2 linked regions of the Nothobranchius furzeri genome follow. The protein of the gene in region 2 interacts with the protein of the main gene of each other region in a pairwise test. Links are inferred from orthologs where the notes say so. Each region holds a gene or a part of one and is shown on either strand. Other genes may lie near its edges. The genes, in order: mcmbp and asl.

Region 1 (4,045 bases), on a different chromosome or scaffold from region 2:
AACCTCAGCTGTAAACTGTATATTTTATCCTTAAGTACAGGTTTTCCCTGGCTTCTTGTTGTTGATCAACACAAATGATGAGGATTAGCTTTGTGGCTAAGTGTCCCAAGATGAAAGGGGTCCCATCTTTGTAGTCCTCACTCCCGTTGGCTCACCAGCAGGTAACGCGTGGATTTGTTTGTCTGGTTCGTGTGACACGAGACTTCAGTCTTGGCTGCTTTGCAGGTGCTGCTTTTAGTACGTGGTGCTGCCAAAGCTGCAGCTGTAGCGCAGTTTTAACGCTTACGGGAATTTTAATCAGGTTCAACACTGGAGCGGTTCGTTTTATCTTGTGCTAAAAAGCATTCCTCCTGATGCTGTCAGCTTTTTTACTTTGACACATTTGCTGGCTGTTTTGTCTCCTTTTGTTTTCACACCAAGTGCATTTTTTGTGTCCTTTCGTTTCGACCCGAGACACAAATATCAGGTTTTTTCTGTTGGCGCTGCTGAAGCACATTTCCCCGATGTCACGTCTCCTCTTCTGTACCAACCTGACCGATGACATTGTTCTCCACCGTGTACTCAGATGTGTTGTATATTAAAGGATCCTATTTATTATCTTTGGGTGTTAATAAAAAGAACATTTTACACTTTTTGGTCTGGAATGAAAAGATGACACATGAGCTGCACAAGTTTTATTAAATCTATTTACTCGTGAGACAAACTGTTAAATGCACCGTGCTGAATGTAAACAGGAAGTTGGCTCTGCAGTTACACATTATAAACAGTCGGCTGTTATTGAGTCATACCTTTAATTCTAGTTGGAATATATAAATCTTTAGTTTACAAAAAGGTGAAAAAACTTTATTAAACTGTTCTAACAAAAGGAAAACCGTTGAGCTGTCCCGCGCGTGAGCTCACGGCTCGTTGCCGTTCACGCTCTTGTGTTGCTCTATTCGGCTCCTTCGCAGTGTCTCGATGTGTTTGGCTCTCAGCCAGCTGTCTCTGGACAGGGACGTGTGTCCCAGGCTCAGGGACAGCAACCTGCGGACGGAGACGCACACACACTCAGTCGGGTTTCAGCTTTTCACTCATCTTGAACAGGAAATCTAGATGCCGACGGTCAGAAGGCATCGTTCGGCGCTCAGTTAACCTTCACGAGGAGCCGCAGTCTGGACAAACGGCTTTTATGACCGCACCGATGAGCTAACGGCTAGGCTGAACACAACACCAGTTACTGATCTGTCATAACGGTTCACGCTCAGGTTTCTACAATAAATGCTTATTTATGTGGAACTTATGGAGTAAGTGTCACCAGCAGCGGCCAGATATGGCAAATAAAAACAGATTTTAGAGCATTTGTTGTGCAGATGTTATTCAGGAACATAAATGTACATTTTGGTCAACTTTACTCATTTTTTTATATTTTTGCAGTGGAATAAATGCCTTTTAAGTCGTACTCCGGGGACAAAAACTCACAGAAGGCTGCCAGAGAAAAAAAAAGTTACAGACGACAGGATTTGGATTCCTGATATTTGGACAGCTCTGATTGGCTAACAACAACACGACTCTACCACTGACTGCTCTGCAACGTTGATGTTTCATCTCCACAAATAACACAAGCCTGGAGAAGTTCTGCTGTGTGGTGGAGTTGCTAATGCTAACAGTTAGCTTCTACTAGCTGAGACGTTCTTTGCTGTTTCCTGGACGCTAAACCAACAACAGCCTTCCCCGTCGTGAGCCAACATGGGCGAGTCGATGAATGTTAGTGACAGTGTGACTTAGATCTGTCAGGATTTTCTAATCCTAGAGTTTCACCGTCTGTTTTCTATCAGAAGCTAAAGCTTGGTTTATGCTTGACGCATTTACTTTCCACGCGGTGATGCGGCTCGCGGATGGAACGCGCTTCACAACTCGCAGCGTTTATGGTTCGTGCGGCTTGTCTCTGCGGTGAGCCAATATTCTCCCAAACTGTAGGGGGCAGCATGGAGCTCTATGGCATGCATCCAACACTACACCATAGTAGAAGTAGAAATTACTGTTTACAACATGGCATTTCAGCATTTTTAACAGCGTTCTCGTCTTTTCCGACAGTGCGAGCTATTTCTCTCCAAGAATTATTAACAACATGTTGATCACGGTGATCTCTGAGAGCTGAATCATACAAATGTCTGTATTTACGAACCTCTGCCATACTAGATCTTGCCGGTCCGCCATGTTTTCCCGCGTCCGTCCGTCCGCGTGGTTAGAAATTTTCCGAGGTGTGCGTTGCGGAAATTCTGGGCCGTGCGGAGGTGCGGTGGAGGGGCGTGGTTGTTAAAATGACGCAACTTTTCCGTGCGGCCCTCGCGGACGCGTCAAGCATAAACCAACCTTAATGCAGGAGATAGGTGTAGGAGACTATCATCATGTTCAGCCTGCATGAAAAACCTCAGAGTGAACTGTTAAAATCAGAAATAATTAGTTAAAAAATAAATGGTTCCTAGAAGAACCTAGTCTTCAACAGCCTTGTAAGCTAATAAAACTCAGTTCTACTTTGGAGGAGAACCTAGTCTGAGCTCACCTGGCCACTACAAGCAGCCTGTGGAGATCTTCTGCAGAAACGCCCTGGGGGTCGTCCTTCCTCATCTCCACAAAGTCCTCCTCCACTGACTTGACGGGCAGAAAGCAGAGATGTAAAAACAACCAAAAGGCTCTTTAACCGTGTCCTGGCACACGTCCAGCCTCACCTTGGTCACGTCGTCTGAGATGCTGTAGTCGAGCAGACGTGCCACGCCCAGATAAACTCTGAACTTGTTCAGCTGCGAGGACACCTGCGGGTGGACGTGGACGCTCCTGATGTACTCCTCTACGTGGGACGAAGACACTTGCGGTTGCAGATGTATGTGACAGTCGGACTGTAGGAATAGAAGCGTCAGGACTTCACCCAGGAGCCAGAGAAAGCCTCGAGCCTGAGCCCACGGTTCAGCATAAACAGTCTGACGTAAACGCTGCCATGTACAGGTTTGTTTACAGCGCTCGGGGTGAGCATATCGCCCCATGTGACGCCACTCCCTGGATTGTTCCTGTAGCACGCAGCTGCCAACACGGCAACTCATTAGAGCAGCATCCAGGAATAGCACATGGCGCATTCCTCGTGCTGCCGGCAGCAGCGCGTCACCCCGGCTAAGGCTGCGGCACGGAGGGGGGTCTGCAGCTGGCCAGTGGCAGCTGTTAGCACAACCTCCAGCTTCTGACGCGGCTGCGTCTCATGAGAAACTAGTGGAAACCCAACCGGGGTGCGCGTCTTAAATAGACAGGAGAGAGTTTACAGTCTGCAGCAGCACCTGATTGGCTCTTACCGGCAGCAGTGAGCGACCCTCGGATGCGACGAGCACGTTAATATTGCAGGGGAACTCCATCTGATGGTAGTTGAAGTCATAATCAACCTTCTGCCACGAGATCAGGTTCCCCATGGCCGTGACATTACGCACACCTACAACACAGGAGAGAAGATTGCTTACCAGATCATTAGGATGATCAGTGCTGCCCCCTTGTGGCTAGCAGAGGTCCCACCTGTTGTGTCCAACTGTCCCTGCTCTAGCTGGGTTTCATCCAGGAAGAGGGAGGTGTTTTGGGACAGCTGCAGGGTTCCGCTCGTCAGGCGGTTTGCGATGTAGTCCTTCTTAGGCACCAGCCGCAGCTGGTTCATGTTCTGGAGGCTCATGCCCAGGTAATGGGACTGCAGGTAAAATCATTTAAGGCCCATTAGCAGACGAACGCACGGAAACGGAAACCTCTGGGTCTGGACTCACCGAAGGCACAAGCTGCTGGATGATCTGGTAAAGGCGCTCGGCGTACGGGGGCGCGGTCGGACAGCCGCTCAGGTTCAAGGTGAACTTTCCCAGGGGGAGAACATCCCTTCTGGCATATCTGGGAGGGAGGAATCAAACTCAGGCGAAAGCATCCCCAAAGCCACAAAACGGGAACTTACTGAGCTCTGGAGGGGGCGTGGGAAAAATAAGAGACATTTTTGGATCCTGGCTTTGTTTTGGTACATGGTCTGTATTTGAATAGCACCTTCTTA
Region 2 (4,104 bases):
GTGGGTGGGATGATGCAACAGAGTGAAACAAGAGTATGTCACATTCATTGTCCAATGGAATGCGGAGATCATTTGAAAGACAACGGTAGAACCCGCCCCACAACCGAGAGCCGTCAATGGAGCGTGGCCAGACTAAATAATACATTTATTTAGTCTGGCTTGCCAGGCTATAAAAGAGCCTCTATGCTGTATTTTTGCATACTTACTGTAAAGATCCCCCCCGCTCCTCATGCCGGTTGTCCCCCCCTTCTAAAGTCAAAACTATGTCCATGTATGAATGAGAGATAACATGTGAAGTATTAGAGTAACAGAATAAGAGCAAACACCAGAAGCCTGTTTCTTTGTAGAATGAAAAAGACACATTTTACATTAAAAGACATTATTCTATGAATTGCAGCTTTTTTATTTGCAACTTTAATTCTCCTAAATAGGACCTGATTGCATGTTTAGTCCTTTCTCACCGAAGAAATGCTCTTTTGTTCCTCTAAATGGCATGATGTTTGTTTACGTAGTTAAAATGGTTTGATTATGGATTATGTGGAGAGACAATCTGTGGATTATAAAAGAAGGAACATTGGTTTCATGGTGCAAATCATTCAAACTCAGCAGTAAAGTGTAACAGCAACTTTATTTTGTCACCTGCTGAACACTGATCAGACAGGACGGTTAAGCGAGACGGCACACATTTTTGAAAATCAAAGCCGTGTCTGGATGTAACAGTTTACTTTGACCTAAACCTGACAGCAGTAGCTGGGATTAAAGTCACTGTGTTTGCTTTGTCAGCCAGATCCTCAGGTGTTCCACCTGCGCAGCGACGCTACTCTTGGCTGTACCTCCGGGGGCTCTGTACTGCTCCACGCTGCTCCTGTAGTCCCACACTGAGGAAACGTCGCCTCCAAACAGAGGGCTAGAGCCAAAAAAACACAAAAAGGAAAAAAAAAAATTAGAGGCGATTCAAAATCCTGAGATCAGGGAGAAACTTTTGAATATCAAAAGTAAAATTAGATGCTACAACAGCTGACGGAAACATGAGAGTTCCACCTAACAGCAGTCAGGTCCTCCACAGTGAGCTGATTCAGGCTGATGTGTTGAGATTCAGCTGCAAACACAGCTTTACCAGAGACTCCATGAGCCTCTCTAAAGGGAACCTGCAATTAGAAAGCAGCGATGATTTCACATATTTGCTTCAGTCCCACACTTCCTGTTACACCTCTGGATCTATTTCTTTATTTCGGCGTCTGCTACACATGGATAGCCAGCGCCTCTAACTCACCCCCTTCCTCACAAGGTAGTAGGCCAGATCAGTGGCCAACATGTCGGGACTCAGGGCAGCTTCCATCACGCTCTGGTTGATCTAAAACACCAGGAATGAAACTGAGCTACTGATTCTAATGTTCCCTTAAAAAACAGAAATACAGACTATTTTTGTCAAAATACTTCAGCGTTTTTACTTTGACACAAGATTTTATTCCAGTAATCCTAACAATCTCATACTTCTGGTTTTCATTTTGATCATCAAACTAAACAAACAGGATATACAAATCCACGCATAAAACTATCAGTGATTTAGGTCTCTGACCTTAAGAGTGGACATGACTCCAGTTGTCACCTGCAGCACAGCCTGGACAGTATCGAAACAGTCAAACATGGCCTCCTTATCCTCCTGAACAGGAACGGAGAGGAGAAATAGAACAGAAAGTCAGGAATATTAGATTTCTTTTTTCATGATGTGAGATAACACACAGTGGAGGCGTCCTATCAAACCTGCAGGTCCTTGTTATAAGTGCTGGGCAGGCCTTTGAGTGTCATCATGAACCCCGAACACTAAAATATAAAATAATTAAATGTGAAATTATCATTAATATTATTGTTGTGATGGTAGGTATGAAGAAAAAATGTTTGTAACATTTTGCTGCTATAATTATGAGCTACCGTCGAGGTAAAAACGTTAAATTAGCCCTTTAATAAACATATGTTAAGCAGAAATACAACAAAAACTAGTCCTAAATCTTACTTTGCCAAAGACACGACCTGCTTTACTCCTGATCAGCTCCAGGCTGTCAGCGTTCTTCTTCTGAGGCATCAAACTGCTGCCTGTGCTACAAACAGATGAGACTAGCAGCGTCACACAGGAGGAAGAGCTTTATGAAGCACACAGAGCAACACACACCTCAGCATTACATTTAATACATAACTTATGAAATGAGCTATTTTTATTTCTGACTGTGTTGCTTTGCTCATCAAACTGAAAAGATGTTTATTGTGAAATAATAACCTGTTGGAATGAAGGCGACTTTGAAACAGATTTCCTTCTCAGCCAGCTGGGCGACTGCCAGTTTTTCTCCTTTTAAAGTAGTAACAGTTTAGCTTTTAAGCCGGGCGTACACTGTGCGGCTTTTTCACTCGTAGCACTCAGCTTCAGCTCAAACTGTACGACTTCCTCGCAGAGCAGATCTCACGAGTCGTGTGCTCACACTGTACGACCCAGTTCTCGCATGCGACCTGACTGCTCACACTGTACGTCTGGTAGCAACACGTCGGCCCTAAAAATGTGCTAAAAATAGCAGTTTTTACTCAACACGTCAGACTTTTTTGTCTTGCCTGTTGTCCTTCGGGAGTGCTGCTGGAGGACACACAGGGATTTATGGGGGTTAGATGAGGAAAACGAAATAAAGAAAGTGAATCTGTGTTTTGTGATCAGTTTAATTTGACATGAACACGACAAACACGCTTTCTTGACAATCTTTGTGAGTAAAAAAAACGTGTAGAAACAAAAACGAACAGCGTGTGTTATTAGGGAAATAGCGAGCGACCGGCGTTGATGCAGGATTGCGCGCGCATGCGCCGTGAGCGGTTCTGATACTTTTTTGGATCGTAGCTGCTCGCAGCTGCTCGCAGCGCCGCTTCAACAGTGCGATACCCTCACGAGGGACGAGCGAAATATTAAACGCACCAGAAGTCCCTGCGACCTCACGACTGCTGATCGGCGGCTGGTCACGTGGTGTTAATCGCCTCTCGTAACCCCCTGTACACTACACGACCGCTCGGCGCAAAACTCGCCCCGATATCGTGGCTTCTCGCACGACTGGAAAATCGGCTCAAAAAAGTGAAAAAGTCGCACAGTGTACGCCCGGCTTAACAGTGATCAGTTAGAAACTTGCTCAGTTTCATTTTTGACACCACTCTGCTGCCCTCTGCTGGCCAAAAACTGCACTTGATAGTTTTGTGGAGCGGGTAGGTGCCCTACAGAAATCTCGGACTGATGGTGACCTGACTTTTTTTACTGCTGGACTTGTAAGTATTAATATTTTATGTCCAACAGTGTGGATCCTTTTACTTTGTGGTTAATTTTAGCATAGTTGGTTCATGTTAGTGTTAGCTCATTGTTAGCACTAGCTACAGCAGGGTTGTTTTACGACAGTTGTTATTCCACTTTCAACCAGTAAGGCAGAGGAGCAGGAAACTTTAAAAAGGCCAAAGAGGGATCTAGGCCCAATCCCAATATTAGCACTGCACCCTGCGGTCTTCAGCAAAGTGCACGTGGAGAAAGTGTGCAGTAAGGCTTTGAGTGCGTGGTACACACGTGTGCAAATAATTGCCAAATTGAGATAGGGAGCATTGCTTAATCAACCGCAACACATGCTGGGATGCTGGTCACTCTGATACATTGGAAAATAAACCTTTATTAACAACTGTAGACAAATATATATATATTTGAAATAAATATATGTTAATTGCTGCTTTGTCTAAAAGTTTCAGAGCATCAACTAACTGTCTTAAAATGAACTACTTTCATTAGAAAATATATTTTTTCAGAAAAAGGCATTTGAGCCTTTTCTCATTCAGCAATGGATTGTGGGTAATACCGTTCGCTAAAGTCAGCATTGATGCACATGAAATGCAGATCAAGCGTGCAAGGGGGCGTGATCAACTTCCGCACTTGAGCATCGGGACAACCGACGCACTCATACCCCTGGTCGGGATCACGCAATTGAACAGCGTAAGTGTGGAAGTGTGAGTAATAGGATTGGGCCGTAGTGTTTAGTTACAATCTGTCCCGCCACCAGACTTCCTGATTCCAGAGCCAATCATATGCGAGCCCCC

What was found.
Region 1: the proteins of asl (region 2) and mcmbp interact in binary tests that used the Homo sapiens proteins (3 or more experiments, as listed by UniProt). The two-hybrid records come from large-scale screens. The link is inferred for Nothobranchius furzeri from reciprocal best matches to the Homo sapiens genes ASL and MCMBP.

The regions. Positions count from the first base shown.
Region 1 is NC_091752.1:5,506,624-5,510,668, reverse strand, and holds the end of mcmbp (mini-chromosome maintenance complex-binding protein), read right to left. Parts: intron 3,892-4,045; coding exon 3,774-3,891; intron 3,701-3,773; coding exon 3,535-3,700; intron 3,455-3,534; coding exon 3,321-3,454; intron 2,877-3,320; coding exon 2,709-2,876; intron 2,632-2,708; coding exon 2,543-2,631; intron 1,024-2,542; coding exon 897-1,023; 3' UTR 660-896; downstream 1-659. UniProt on the Homo sapiens protein: Associated component of the MCM complex that acts as a regulator of DNA replication.
Region 2 is NC_091750.1:61,109,748-61,113,851, forward strand, and holds the end of asl (argininosuccinate lyase), read right to left. Parts: intron 2,100-4,104; coding exon 2,015-2,099; intron 1,825-2,014; coding exon 1,765-1,824; intron 1,664-1,764; coding exon 1,580-1,663; intron 1,355-1,579; coding exon 1,274-1,354; intron 1,149-1,273; coding exon 1,042-1,148; intron 908-1,041; coding exon 763-907; 3' UTR 610-762; downstream 1-609.